Linked DNA regions of Macaca fascicularis. The protein of the gene in region 2 purifies or fractionates together with the protein of the main gene of each other region. This does not show direct contact. Links are inferred from orthologs where the notes say so. Each region holds a gene or a part of one and is shown on either strand. Other genes may lie near its edges.

What was found.
Region 1: the proteins of HDAC5 (region 2) and TBL1X purify together in Homo sapiens (affinity purification with mass spectrometry; 3 studies listed by BioGRID and IntAct, with this or other methods). This does not show direct contact. The link is inferred for Macaca fascicularis from reciprocal best matches to the Homo sapiens genes HDAC5 and TBL1X.
Region 3: the proteins of HDAC5 (region 2) and PRKD1 purify together in Homo sapiens (affinity purification with western blotting; 4 studies listed by BioGRID, with this or other methods). This does not show direct contact. The link is inferred for Macaca fascicularis from reciprocal best matches to the Homo sapiens genes HDAC5 and PRKD1.

Annotation. Positions count from the first base shown.
Region 1 is NC_088395.1:9,143,522-9,147,688, reverse strand, and holds the start of TBL1X (F-box-like/WD repeat-containing protein TBL1X), read right to left. Parts: upstream 2,803-4,167; 5' UTR 2,580-2,802; intron 1,030-2,579; exon of another isoform or gene 592-1,029; intron 25-591; exon of another isoform or gene 1-24. UniProt on the Homo sapiens protein: F-box-like protein involved in the recruitment of the ubiquitin/19S proteasome complex to nuclear receptor-regulated transcription units. Plays an essential role in transcription activation mediated by nuclear receptors.
Region 2 is NC_088390.1:65,135,604-65,139,107, forward strand, and holds part of HDAC5 (histone deacetylase 5), read right to left. Parts: intron 3,504-3,504; coding exon 3,219-3,503; intron 2,476-3,218; coding exon 2,310-2,475; intron 881-2,309; coding exon 747-880; intron 1-746. UniProt on the Homo sapiens protein: Responsible for the deacetylation of lysine residues on the N-terminal part of the core histones (H2A, H2B, H3 and H4).
Region 3 is NC_088381.1:97,748,460-97,752,697, forward strand, and holds the start of PRKD1 (serine/threonine-protein kinase D1), read right to left. Parts: upstream 2,804-4,238; 5' UTR 2,608-2,803; coding exon 2,344-2,607; intron 1-2,343. Other genes in the region: uncharacterized protein, read left to right, coding at 2,804-3,342.

The DNA.
Region 1 (4,167 bases), on a different chromosome or scaffold from region 2:
CTTCCTTGACAGTTTCTGCGCCTCAGAAACTGAGCAGACGCGGGGCCCGCGCCACCTCGCCCGCCGCTTGCCTCACTTCGTAAGGCTGCGCTTCCACCCGGGTCCGGGCGGGCCGGCCCGCTTCCCGGGGATGAATGGGGCTCCTCTCCCCAACAGCGGGGAAATCCCGCCACCGCCCTCCACCCCGGTCCCCCGAGCCCGCGGTGGCGCAGGTTTGCCCAGCAAGCCCCAAGATCGGCAGACAAAGGGGCACCAGAGGAAAAGCCGAGCTCTTCCATAAACTTACCGGTCACCTACCCCTCCCCAAAACAAAGGAGCCCCCCGCCGACCTCTGTCTCTCCCCGCAAGGCGCGCCGGCACTTTGGGGAGCGGCCACCTCGGGGTATTGTTCAGCCTCCTGGGAGCGCGCCGCACCCCAGTCCGAGCGCCACGGGGACAGTTGGCGACCTGCGCCTCCTGTAGTTCCAGGGGCGGGTGGAGCGTCCGGGCGCCCCGAGTCGCCGGCCAGACCCTGGAGGGTCAGCGCGGGAACCGCCTCCCCGCAGAAGTTTGCGGACCCCGCGCCCGGCCCGCCGAGCCCCGCGCACTCACCTCGCCGCGAACAGCGCAACTTGTGGCGGCGCCGCGCGCCCGGCCGCGCTCCGAACCTCCCTCCGGCCGGCAGCCTCCGAGCCCCGGCCGTGCGGCGGCCGAAGAGGGCCCGGCGCCCTGGAGCAGCCGCGCGCCGCCCCCGGGCCGCCCCCGCCCCGCCGCCGCCGAGTCCCGGAGAGGGCGCGGGCGCTGGAAAGTTTCGGTGGCGAATGGCGGCCGGAGGGCGCTGCGGCGGCGGCGCGGCGGGGGCGCTGGCGACTCCTCGCTCCCGAGCGCGGAGTGGGGCCGCTGAGCCGGGCGCGGCGGCGGAGGCGGCGGCGGCGGCGGCGGGAGAGGGCGGAACAGCGGGAGGGACTGGCACGGGCAGTGACCTCCGCGGGGAGCGGTCGCGAGCGCGCGGACCCCAACCAGGACTACCGCCAGGGGTCCGCCCCCTCCGCCAGCCCCTCCCTCACGGCCGTGGGAGGGCACCCGGCGTCCCACCCAGCCCCGCCCCTGAGCCCCGGGGGAGCCGCGTCCCGAACCAGCCCCTCCCCCACGAGGGTAGGGACTCCGGCCCTGCCCCTCCCCCGCGGCTCCTAGAGGGGACCCGCGTCCCAACCCAGCCCCTGCCCCACGGTCGGGGGACCAGCGTCCCTACCAAGCCCGCCCCGCTCCCCAACGCCTAGGGTGGGTGAGGGGAACCCAAGCCTTTCCCGAGTTGCTCCGGTCCCGGTCCCTTCCCCGTGGCCTCCGTGGGACTGAGAGGACCCCAGGGCTACCCCCATCACATCCCAAACCCAGCCTTTCCACGACTGCCTCGAGGGGACGGGAACCTCGGCCACCCCCTCTGTTTCGGGGGGGCAGGGGAACCTCGGTCCCTGCTAAAGTGTTACCCTCCCCCACCCCAATAAGGAAGCCACCCAGCTGCCCCAAGAGAACCCCCTGCCACCTGCCCGATGGTGAATCTCCCTCAAAATAAGCGTCTTAGAAGACACCCCAGTAGTCTTTACCCCACCTCAAAAAGTGGGGGCTCCGGCGGAGCCTCGACCTTTGCAAAACACCTCCCAGGAAGAGCCAGAAACGCTTAGGGACAAACTCAGACACACAAGCATAGGCGCCAGGAGCTCGGGTGTGGGGGCTGAGGAGGTTAGGGGGACCTGGGCCCTCGGGCCTCAGCACTCCCACCCCAACCCCCAGGCTTCAGCCCTCTGGGCCTTGCAAAGTGCTTAATGTTGCAATGGCTTACACGGCCTGGCCCCGGTGCACTTAAGTCCCCAGCGCTCCTTCCTCCCCTCCACGTAGGCTACTCCCCACCACTCGCGGCCTTAATTCAGTTAAACAGATCTCCACTCCCCCTCCCCAGCACCTCTGGGGTCAGCCTTGTTGAATATTTTTCAAATATTCTTGCCCCTTCCTTTACTATATAATGAGCTTCGTGCTAAGAGTCCGGTGCACTCAGCAATCTAAACTATAACCTTACTTGCTCTTCCTCGAACACTAGACCATTTGTTGTTCTGGTTGTGGGGGGAGGGGGACCCGAGGTGAGGTTTTTGTTTTTGTTTTTGTTTTTCTGAGACGGAGTCTCGCTCAGTTGCCCAAGCTGGGGTGCTGTGGCACGATATCGACTCACTGCAACCTCCACCTACCTCCCTGGTTCAAGCAGTTCCCCTGCCTCAGCCTCCGGAGTAGCTGGGATTACAGGCGCACGCCACCACGCCCAGCTAATTTTTTTGTATTTTTAGTAGTTTTAGTTTCACCATATTGGCCAGACTGGTCTCGAACTCCTGACCTCAGGCAATCCGCCGGCCTCGGCCTCCCAAAGTGCTGGGACTACAGGCGTGAGCCACCGCGCCCGGCCGGAGGTGAGTTTTTAAGAGGCCGGTCCTCCATCAAAAAGGCGGACCTCAAAATTACCCTGCAAAATATTGCCGTAAAACGTCAATGATGCAAAATGACTGTTGCTACACCATCATTAGAGGACATCAATAAAAAAAATACACACTTACACAGTCTCCATAATTGTGAATCAGCAGAATAGATTGTGTCTTATTACGTATCAGTTGCCATTCAAGGCCCCCCAGAAGGACTTGGTGGGGCCTTCCCTTGAGCCTGCCCTTCGTTGCTCCCGGGCTCCCTGGGCTTGTGCAGACTGATGCTGACTATTACATGCAATCGAAAAACGAAGGGTGCAATAGAAAACCCGAGCGAAAGAGCTCATGATGCAACCCTGCCCTGGCTACACGTGCTTCCCTTCCCCCACCGCCTGCTGGTGGGAGCGCTGCGTTTTTTCCGCCTGTAGGGTCACATTGTGGTTGATTGATTCTCCTTTCGCCTTGCTCAGTCATTCAGATTTGGAAAGTAAATAACAAGTTGACATCATTACAGCTCTGGGCTTTACGCGGACGCAGCCCTCGGCTACCGCACACTCTGGAGTAGCTGCGCAGCCAACCGGCCTCCTAGCTTGCCAGACCTGCTTGTGGTTAGCAACTGGAAATTCAAGCTAAACTTGGTTAAAAGGCCTCTTTGTGTGTTTTGATCACTTGGCAGATGCCAATCTTTTAAAGTATGGGAAAGTGGTGGAAATCATCACTCTCAAACTGGAGCACTGTGTGGCCAGGATTTATAGCTGATCTCCTGTAACTGACAAAGCAAAAGAGCTCAGAATTCATCTTGACTGGTTGGTAATAGCCCAATAATCCCACCGGCCTTATTACCCGTAAAGAGTCAATATCTTTTATCATAGATTCACAGGGCCCCAAAGGACACTGTAAGACCTAAGACAGGAAGAGAGACCGCCTACATTTATCATGAACTCACCAAAATTCCTCTTTTTGAAATGCTAGATGGGCTGTACGGTAGGTGATAATTAGACTGTGTTATTTAATCTGTTTCAACGATTTTTCAAATGTGCAGTCCTATAAGGTGGGAGAAAACAAGGAAATAAAGTACAGCCGGAAGGAGCTAGTGTATTCTGAGAAAGCTGAAGGATAACAGGGCGAGGGGTCCACAATGATGTACACAGATACCCACTGCACTAGCCATGTGCGTGTGTGCGTGTGTGTGTGTGTGTGTTGCAAACACTTATTTTCAGTTATTGACTGGAGGGAGGGGAAAACAAGAATCTGCTTGCAACAAATACCACCAGCATTCCCCATATACAGTACCCAAAATTTTAATTAAAAGGCAGTAGGAATTCACACAAATATACTCAACTAATCTTTCACAAAGGAGCAAAGGCAATTCATCCTTTTTAACAAGTGGTGCTGGAACAACTGGACACCCATATGCAAAAAAAAAAAAAAAAAAAATTCTAGACATAGGCTTTATATCTTTCACAAAAATTAACTTAAAATAGAACATACTCCCTAACATAAAAGGTAAAACTATAAAAACTCTTAGAAGATAACATAGGAGAAAATCTAGATGACCTTGGGTTTGGCAATGACTGTGTAGCTAGAACACCAAAAGCATGATGCATAAAAGAAAAAAAACAGTAAGTTGGGCATCACTAAAATTTGAAAAGTCTACAAAAGACACTGTTAAGAGAATGAGAAGACAAGTCACAGAATGGGAGAAAATATTTGCAAATTCCAT
Region 2 (3,504 bases):
CGGCTAAGTTTTGTATTTTTAGTAGAGATGGGGTTTCTTTTTTTTTTTTTTTTTTTTGAGACGGAGTCTCGCTCTGTCCCCGGGCTGGAGTGCAGTGGCTGGATCTCAGCTCACTGCAAGCTCCGCCTCCTGGGTTTACGCCATTCTCCTGCCTCAGCCTCCCGAGTAGCTGGGACTACAGGCGTCCGGCTAGCTTTTTGTATTTTTTAGTAGAGACGGGGTTTCACCCTGTTAGCCAGGATGGTCTCGATCTCCTGACCTCGTGATCCGCCCGTCTCGGCCTCCCAAAGTGCTGGGATTACAGGCTTGAGCCACCGCGCCCGGCCGAGACGGGGTTTCATCATGTTGGTCAGGCTGATCTCGAACCCCTGACCTCGTGATATGCCCGCCTTGGCCTCCCAAAATGCTGGGATTACAGGCGTGAGCCACCGCGCCTGGCTCTCAGACCCTTTCTGCCCCATAGCCAGGGGTACACAGAGTCACTTCCTGGCCTTAGGAGATCCAAATATTTTTCAGAAAGTAGATCCTGGCTCTGTCATGACCTTACTCCCAGATCCTCCCTGACTCAGCTGGGGACCATGGGGGAAAACAGGCTGCAAAGGATGGAACAGGGGGTGGTGGGAGAACTGGCCCCGAAGTCTGGGGCTGAAGAGAGGATGAGGAAGAAGCATGAAGAGAGGCTTCTCTAATGGGGAAACAAAGGCTGAATTTAAGTTGAGGGCCAGAGGAAGGAGGGGCTCCCTTACCTCGCACTTGCTAAGCAGGCCTGTCTCCTGCAGCCGGGACCAGATGCTCTGGATCCGGCCAGCATGCTCAGGGTGCACGTGTGTGTTCCCGCACATGCACTGGTGCTTCAGCATGAACGTGTCGTAGACCACACCTGCGCCACAGACCTATGTGTCAGCCAGCACTGCTCTGGGCCCCGGGTCCCAGTGTGGCTACCATGATCCTCAGCAGGGCTCATGGAGCTCTCTCCAACCCCCAGGTCCAAACACCTCCCCGTGGCCACTGCAGCCACCCTCCCACACACCTGCACCCTCTCCTCTCCAGCTTTTTTTTTTTCTTTGAAACAGGGTCTCACTCTGTCACCCAGGCTGGAGTGGAGTGTGCAGTGGCGCTATCATGGCTCACTGCAGCCTCAACCACTGCCCCCACCACCCTGGGCTCAAGCGATCCTCCCACCTCAGCATTCTGAGTAGCTGGGACTATAGGCGCTACCACATCTAGCGTTTTTTTGGTTTTGGTTTTTTTTTTTTTTTTGAGACAGAGTCTTGCTCTGTCGCCCAGGCTAGGGTACAATGGCACGATCTTGGCTCACTGCAACCTCTGCCTCCTGGGCTCAAGCAATTCTCCTGCCTCAGCCTCCCAAGTAGCTAGGATTACAGACATGTGCCACCACGCCCGGCTAACTTTTGTATTTTCAGTAGAGATGGGGTTTCACCATGTTGGCCAGGCTGGTCTTGAACTCCTGACCTCAGGTAATCTGCCCGCCTCAGCCTCCCAAAGTGCTGGGATTACAGGCGTGAGCCACCGCATCCAGCCTATTTTTTTTTTTTTAAATAGACGGGGTCTCACTATATTGCTCACGTTGGTCTCAAACTCCTGGGCTCAAGTGATCCTCCCACTTTGGCTTCCCAAAATGCTGGGATTACAGGTGTGAGTCACTGCACCTGGCTTTTCCTCTCCAGCCTTTGCCCCCTCTCGACGACTCCTGAAATTCCTTTGCTCCATTACTGCCTGTCAGAAGCTTCCCTGCTACACAAGCCCCAGTAAGGCTGCCCTGGACACCCGCATGGGTCTGATCTCTGCCAGCTGTGCCTCCTTGGCTGCACCCTTCTCATAGCACCTCCTGCTTTCCCCCTCCTGCCAAACCCCTATGTCTTACTCCCCACTGGTTATACAGGCCCACCCTCAGGCACATCTGTGTCCCTGCAGAGCCCAGCCTGTGGCAGCTTCATGGGGAAGAGGACTCTGGTCTCATCCCAGACCTCACAGGGAGAAGGAAGGGAAGGTGGAAGGTCAGGGCCCAATAGAGACAGCAGGCTCTCTCTACCCAGCACTTCAGGCTGTGGGGCAGTCCTTCCCTCAGCGGGGTGAGAAAGATGCTACCCACTCTCCCAGCTGAGGCAGAAGGCCCTGCCACTACCACGAACAGCTCTGGGGAACTGGGAGAGAACAAAAGCCTGTGTCCCCTCCTTTCAGGGTGCCTAAGGGGCCCCAGCAGCCTCTTCCCCCTGCCCATGGGGCAGACACCACGCACAGGCCCTCTGGTGCCTGGTAGAAGGACATAACAAGTGGTGGGGGCTCACCTGTGGTGAAGAGGTGCTTGACGGGCTGGTCTGGGGGGCTCTTCATGCCCCCAGGGGCAGCAGGGGAGGACTGGGTGCGGCCCAGGGCCTGGTGGGGCACAGTGGCCAGGCTGAGGGGCGCCTGGTACACCTGCAGCGGCTGCAGCGGCTGGGCATCTGAGAACAGCTGCAGGGGAGGAGAGTGGGAGGGGGCCTGGGTCAGACTCAGCCAGGACAGGGGTGAGGGCAGGCCCTGTCAGGGCCTCCAGAGGGGCCCCAATCCAGACCTTTTCTTCCAAGTCTCCTCCTTCCCCCACCTCCTCCCACTTGCTCCCTCTAGGGACAGGAGACACATCTCCTGAGACAGGGAGGGATGGGGGAGATGTGATGAGTCACATCAAAGAGTAGCATTGAGGTAAGAGGCTGGGAGGGGCGGGGGCGGGGTGGGGGCGGGATGAGTCAGGCCTGGAGGGCTCGGCTGTGTCCGCAATGAATGGAGTGCCAGCTAGGCGTGAGGCAGACAGTAGTAACAGCGGGGGCGTGTGTGTACACACACGCACAGGCACGCACAGGGACCGACGCACAGCCGGCCCTACGCAGGCAGAAACGCAGATACACACAGGCCACGTGTGCACACGTGCACACCCGCACATGCACACACACACAGACACACATGCAGAGAGGCAGGCCAGTATCACAGAGACAGGGAGGGAACTGGCAGCCCAGGAGACACAGCTCTGAGATCAACACAAACAGCTCCCCCTTCTCCCCACTGGCCTCCTTCCCACTCCCCTTTTGCTCTCTACAGAAAGCTGCTCCTGCACAGCCTGGAAACTGCAGATGGGGGAGAGGGAAAGACAAGGGCAAAGGCACGGGTGGGGAAGGACAGAGGGGTGGTGACTAAGGGCTGGGACCAGAGACGGGGCTCACTTTTTTGTAACCAGCACCAGGCTCCTCCGAGTCGGGCCCCTCCTCAGCACCACTCTCGCCCTCCTCGTCCTTGACCTGGATGCAATCCTCCTCCTCCTCCCCATCCTCTTCCTCCTCCTCCTCCTCCAGGTCTTCCTGTGTGCTCTCACTCTCTGTGGAGCCCTCCCGGGGCATGGTCAGGGCTCCCTCCCCCAGCAAGGCCTCCTGCTGCTCTGTCAGCTCCTCTTCTGTCTCCTCAGGGTGGGTGGTGGGCTGCCTGGGCAGCTCCCCTGTCTTGGTGAGGATC
Region 3 (4,238 bases), on a different chromosome or scaffold from region 2:
CTTAATTTTGTTTCTGCTGGGATAGCAATATATTCTGAAAGAGATGACAGATGATAGAGAAATTGAAAAAGTCCTCTGTCCAGAAACACTACCTAGTATATATTTATTTACAGTATTCTGTATATAAATAAGCCTCAAGTTCACATATATAAATCTAACCCCAACTTTTTTATAACCTTAAAAAAAAAAAATCAGTTAGATCTTTACCTTAACTATCCCAAACAGTCAAACTTTTCAAACTTCTTTGAGAGACAGAAGAAACTACCAAAACAAATACAAAAGGAAAGGATTCCCCTTATAAATCAGTCACCTATCAGGGCTGATGGTTTTCTCTTTCCAGTATTTCTCCCGGTCTCTCCCCCAAGAGTCTTGGCTCATGTTCCAACTGCTCATGACTGAACTCTGGTGCTCTTTCTGCCATAACATTTTTGGCATTCTAAAACCTCCACACAGCAAATCCATGTTTCAGATGTCCTTGGTATGATGTCGCTGTGAAAAGATTACTGAGGCTTCTCGCAATTTGAGTTTAATTCAAGGCCTTTTCATAACTGTACTTCCCTTAAAGACCCCAGCCACCACCTTCAGGCCTGCTGCATTCCGTAAGTGCTTGCTGTCCCTCTCCCTCTGCTCTCATCTCACTCTCTCCATGTAACACGCCTCTTGGTAGCTTCCAAGACACCTGGAATTCACCCTCCATTTTAAAATCCCACTACCAAACCTCTTGAGCCATGGATCAGTCTCTCCATCCTGAACTCCATAAGGAAGTTGGGGGCGGGGAGGAGGGAGAATTCAAGCTGGTCAAAACAAAGTCTATCAATATTACTTTGACCCAATTTGAATATTCTCTGACACTACATCACTTGCTTTAGAATTTAGAAAAGTTAAAATTGTACAGAATTACCTTTGCTTTTTGAGAAATTTTATTGTACATTGTATATGTGGTTATGAAGCATTGCTGTTTAATTAACTGGTCTGCATCCAAATGGAGAGGGTTGTATACAAGGCTTTCACAGTGCCTAGAAGAGTGCTCCTGCTTACCCACAATAGACATTCCACAATACTGATGTGGAAAAGGAGCATGATATGACTTGCATCAGCATTAGACAAAATGTGTCATTTTCTTCGAAGTTGCAAACAGTTGACATTACCCGTAATATAAAAGTAAAGTTCCATAAATAAATTCCTGGCACTCATTGTTACCTTAGTCTAGAACTTTCACAACTTTCTAGATCGGTTATTTTTTTCCACCTGGGGCTTTTAACATCCCTGTGCTCAGTGCCGCAACTCACAACCCTCAAGGTTTAGCAAACTCTGTTACACATAGTTTAAAGAAAGCAATTCATGATTATTCAAGTGATAATTGGAAAGCAAAAGGAGTGCTAGCCAGTCCTCCAGGGCTGAAAAATTCAGCACCTTTAGAGACCTCTGTCTCCACCCCCTGAAACGCTGGCTGTTTACACTAAGAAGACTGGCGCCATGGTCCCCTCTCCCTCACATCTGTATCACCCCCTTCCATGCAACATCCCTCTGGATAGCTCCAGAGGCAACCTGAAAATCCAAATTGCAACTGTAAACAGTGGTGGCTGGACTGAGTCTCCTCCGGGGGTGGCCTGGCCCCAGATAACGGCCCTTCTTCCAACCTGCCTTGAGTGGCCGCTGTCCAGAGCCCCACAGCCTCAAACTTAAGGGCACAGCCAGCCTTGGGATGTTCCTGGACATCACCCCCACCACTTCAACGTCCTACTATCAGCATCCCGGGAATGAAAAATAGGAAGGTTGCAACTTTCAGGTTTTGTCGTTGGAAAATGTGTTTCCATGTTCATACAGAGGTGGAACTAAAAGATGACAGGGCCTTGGGTAGCTGCAGTCCTGGTCAGTTTAGCTGACAGGTGAGAAATTTCTTGTCTCCAGGCCATTCCAGGGGCACTCTGGTGCAGGAAGTAGGATTCCGGCACCAGGAATGCGCTGGTCCAGGGTCCATAGGGGAAGGGGACAGAGGAGAAGAAAACTGGGAAGTCTCAAGGACAAGGAGGGGCGCGGCGAGGAAAGGGCAAGATACCTGGAAATTGTCATGAGAAGGATGGAAATGGGTGAGGAGTAGGCGGACTGGAGACAAATCGGTGAATAGAGGAAGATGGGGCGAGAGGAGGATGAGCAACAGCGAGCGCAGTGCCTCGGGCTGCAGGCGTCCAGCCGCGGCGAGGCCAGTCGCTTCCAGAGCGCCGACGAGGCTGGCCGCCGGCCGAGCCCCGGGAGCCGGAAAGTTGGCGCAGAGAGGGCCAGCTGGGCAGCGCCCCCTGCGCCGCGGGGAGGCGCCGGGCTGGCAGCGGCGCGGCGACTTACCTTCTGGTCGACGATGGAGCAAGCCATCTCGCGGACGTGCGCCAGGCTGTAGTCCCCAGACGAGTCCTGCAGCAGCAGCACTGGCTCACGGCTCAGGCCGATCTGCAGATGGAACGAGATGCCCCCGACCGGGGCCGCGACGGGAGCCAAGAAAGGCGCGGGCCCGGGCCCGGACCCTGGGACCAGTGCGGCGGCAGCTGCCGCAGCGGCTGCCGCCACGGGCAGCAGGGGGCTGGGCGGCCGCAGGACCGGAGGGGCGCTCATCGCTCAGCGGGGCGCGGGGCCGGGCAGCCGAGGGCGGGGGCCGGCGGCGCGGCAGCCGAAAAGTTTTGCAGCGGCTGAACCAGGAGCTTCTTTCTCCGAGAGCCGAGACGGAAAATAAAAACTTTCCGGAAAAGTCCCCGCGCGGGGGGAGGGCGAGGGGATGAGGATCAGGAGGGGAGTGGACTGAGGGGAGGAGATGGGGAGGAGGGAAAATGGCCGAGGCGGGAGGACTCTGCGGCCCGGAGCGCGGCCGCCGGCGCGGGGCCGCCGGCGCGGGGGAGGTGCCGCCGCCGCCGCCAAGAAGCTGCCGCCTGGCGCGCTCGGAAGGACGGGGCGGCGGGTCGGCGCGGCCAGAGCGCCGGGCGGGGGCGTGAGGGGCGGGGAAGGGGAGCTGGGGGCGGGCACTGCGGAGCCACCACCCGGCGGGCGCGGGAGTCGCAGGAGCAGTGGCCGCAGGGTGCCCGGTCGCCGCCCCCTCCGCCCGCAGTTCCCGAGGCCTGAGCCTCCGCGAGCCGGGATAGGACCGAGTGGCGGGGCTCGGAGCCGCCTCGGCAGGAGCGGCCCTTCCCTCCCTGCAGGGACTCCAGTCCTCGCGGGTCCCGCTGCCCCGACTGCGGACGGAGTGGATGGGGCGCACCTCCTCACACCCGCTTCCTGGGGTCGCGAACTTCCCGGGCCCCACGGTCCCTGCCACCTCTTCCAAATGCTCGAGGACTACGCACTTCTACAAGTGAGGTGACTTTTGAGGAATTCAAGAATGCTGATCACAGCGGTTCCCCTCGGGTCTTACCTTTGGAGGGTCAAGGGAGGATGGGTCATCCGGAAACCACTTACATCCAGGCCCCTCTGGGAGCCCTGGGGTTTGTTGCCAAAGAGGGTAGAAGCCAATCCACAGAAAGGGATTTAAACTTGTCCCTACCCTTTTTGTCGCTCTGACACGCCATTACAGCCAACCCTACCTACTCCACCCCAGCTCCTAAGGCACCGGATATACACAGTGATCTAAAGAGAGGGTCGCTTTGGAAAGAAAAGGCATTGACTGCCCAAGGGCAGGAGGAGGGTCTGACGCGGTTTCCTTTCCTTTACCTTATTCTTTGCGCCTGAAGTTTCTCCTTTGGAGCTTCAGAAACTATTTTCCTTCTCCTCTAAAGTCTGTTATATAGGAGCAGTGCTCCCACCTCAGCCCCGCCACCATGATCACAAGCACAGCCATCAGGATTGTTCACAACCTGCCCTAATTTGGATCGTTTATTTTTGTTGTTTTGGCAGGGTAGGGATTGTTTTACATTCGTTGGAGATGAATTCTAATTCTCTCCTCCCACCAGGGTGGGCTTCATGGGTGTGCGACTGTGCAGTTGTATAGGCCACAGCTCATAAGACCCGTGTTTGGTTTAATGTTCTGGAACAATAGTCTGCTGTCGCTGTTTCGTTCTTCATAATTTTTAACCAAGGAGTCTTACATTTGTATTTTGCAATGGGCCACGCAGATTATGTAGTCAGCGCTGCCTCTCTCTTCTCCACTTCCCTAGACTTTCCCCTTCCCCTGCTTAAGTACACACATACATACCTAAGCAAACATTTTGTATTTTGTATAGTTTATTTTGTTCTGATATATTTATTTATTTATTTAT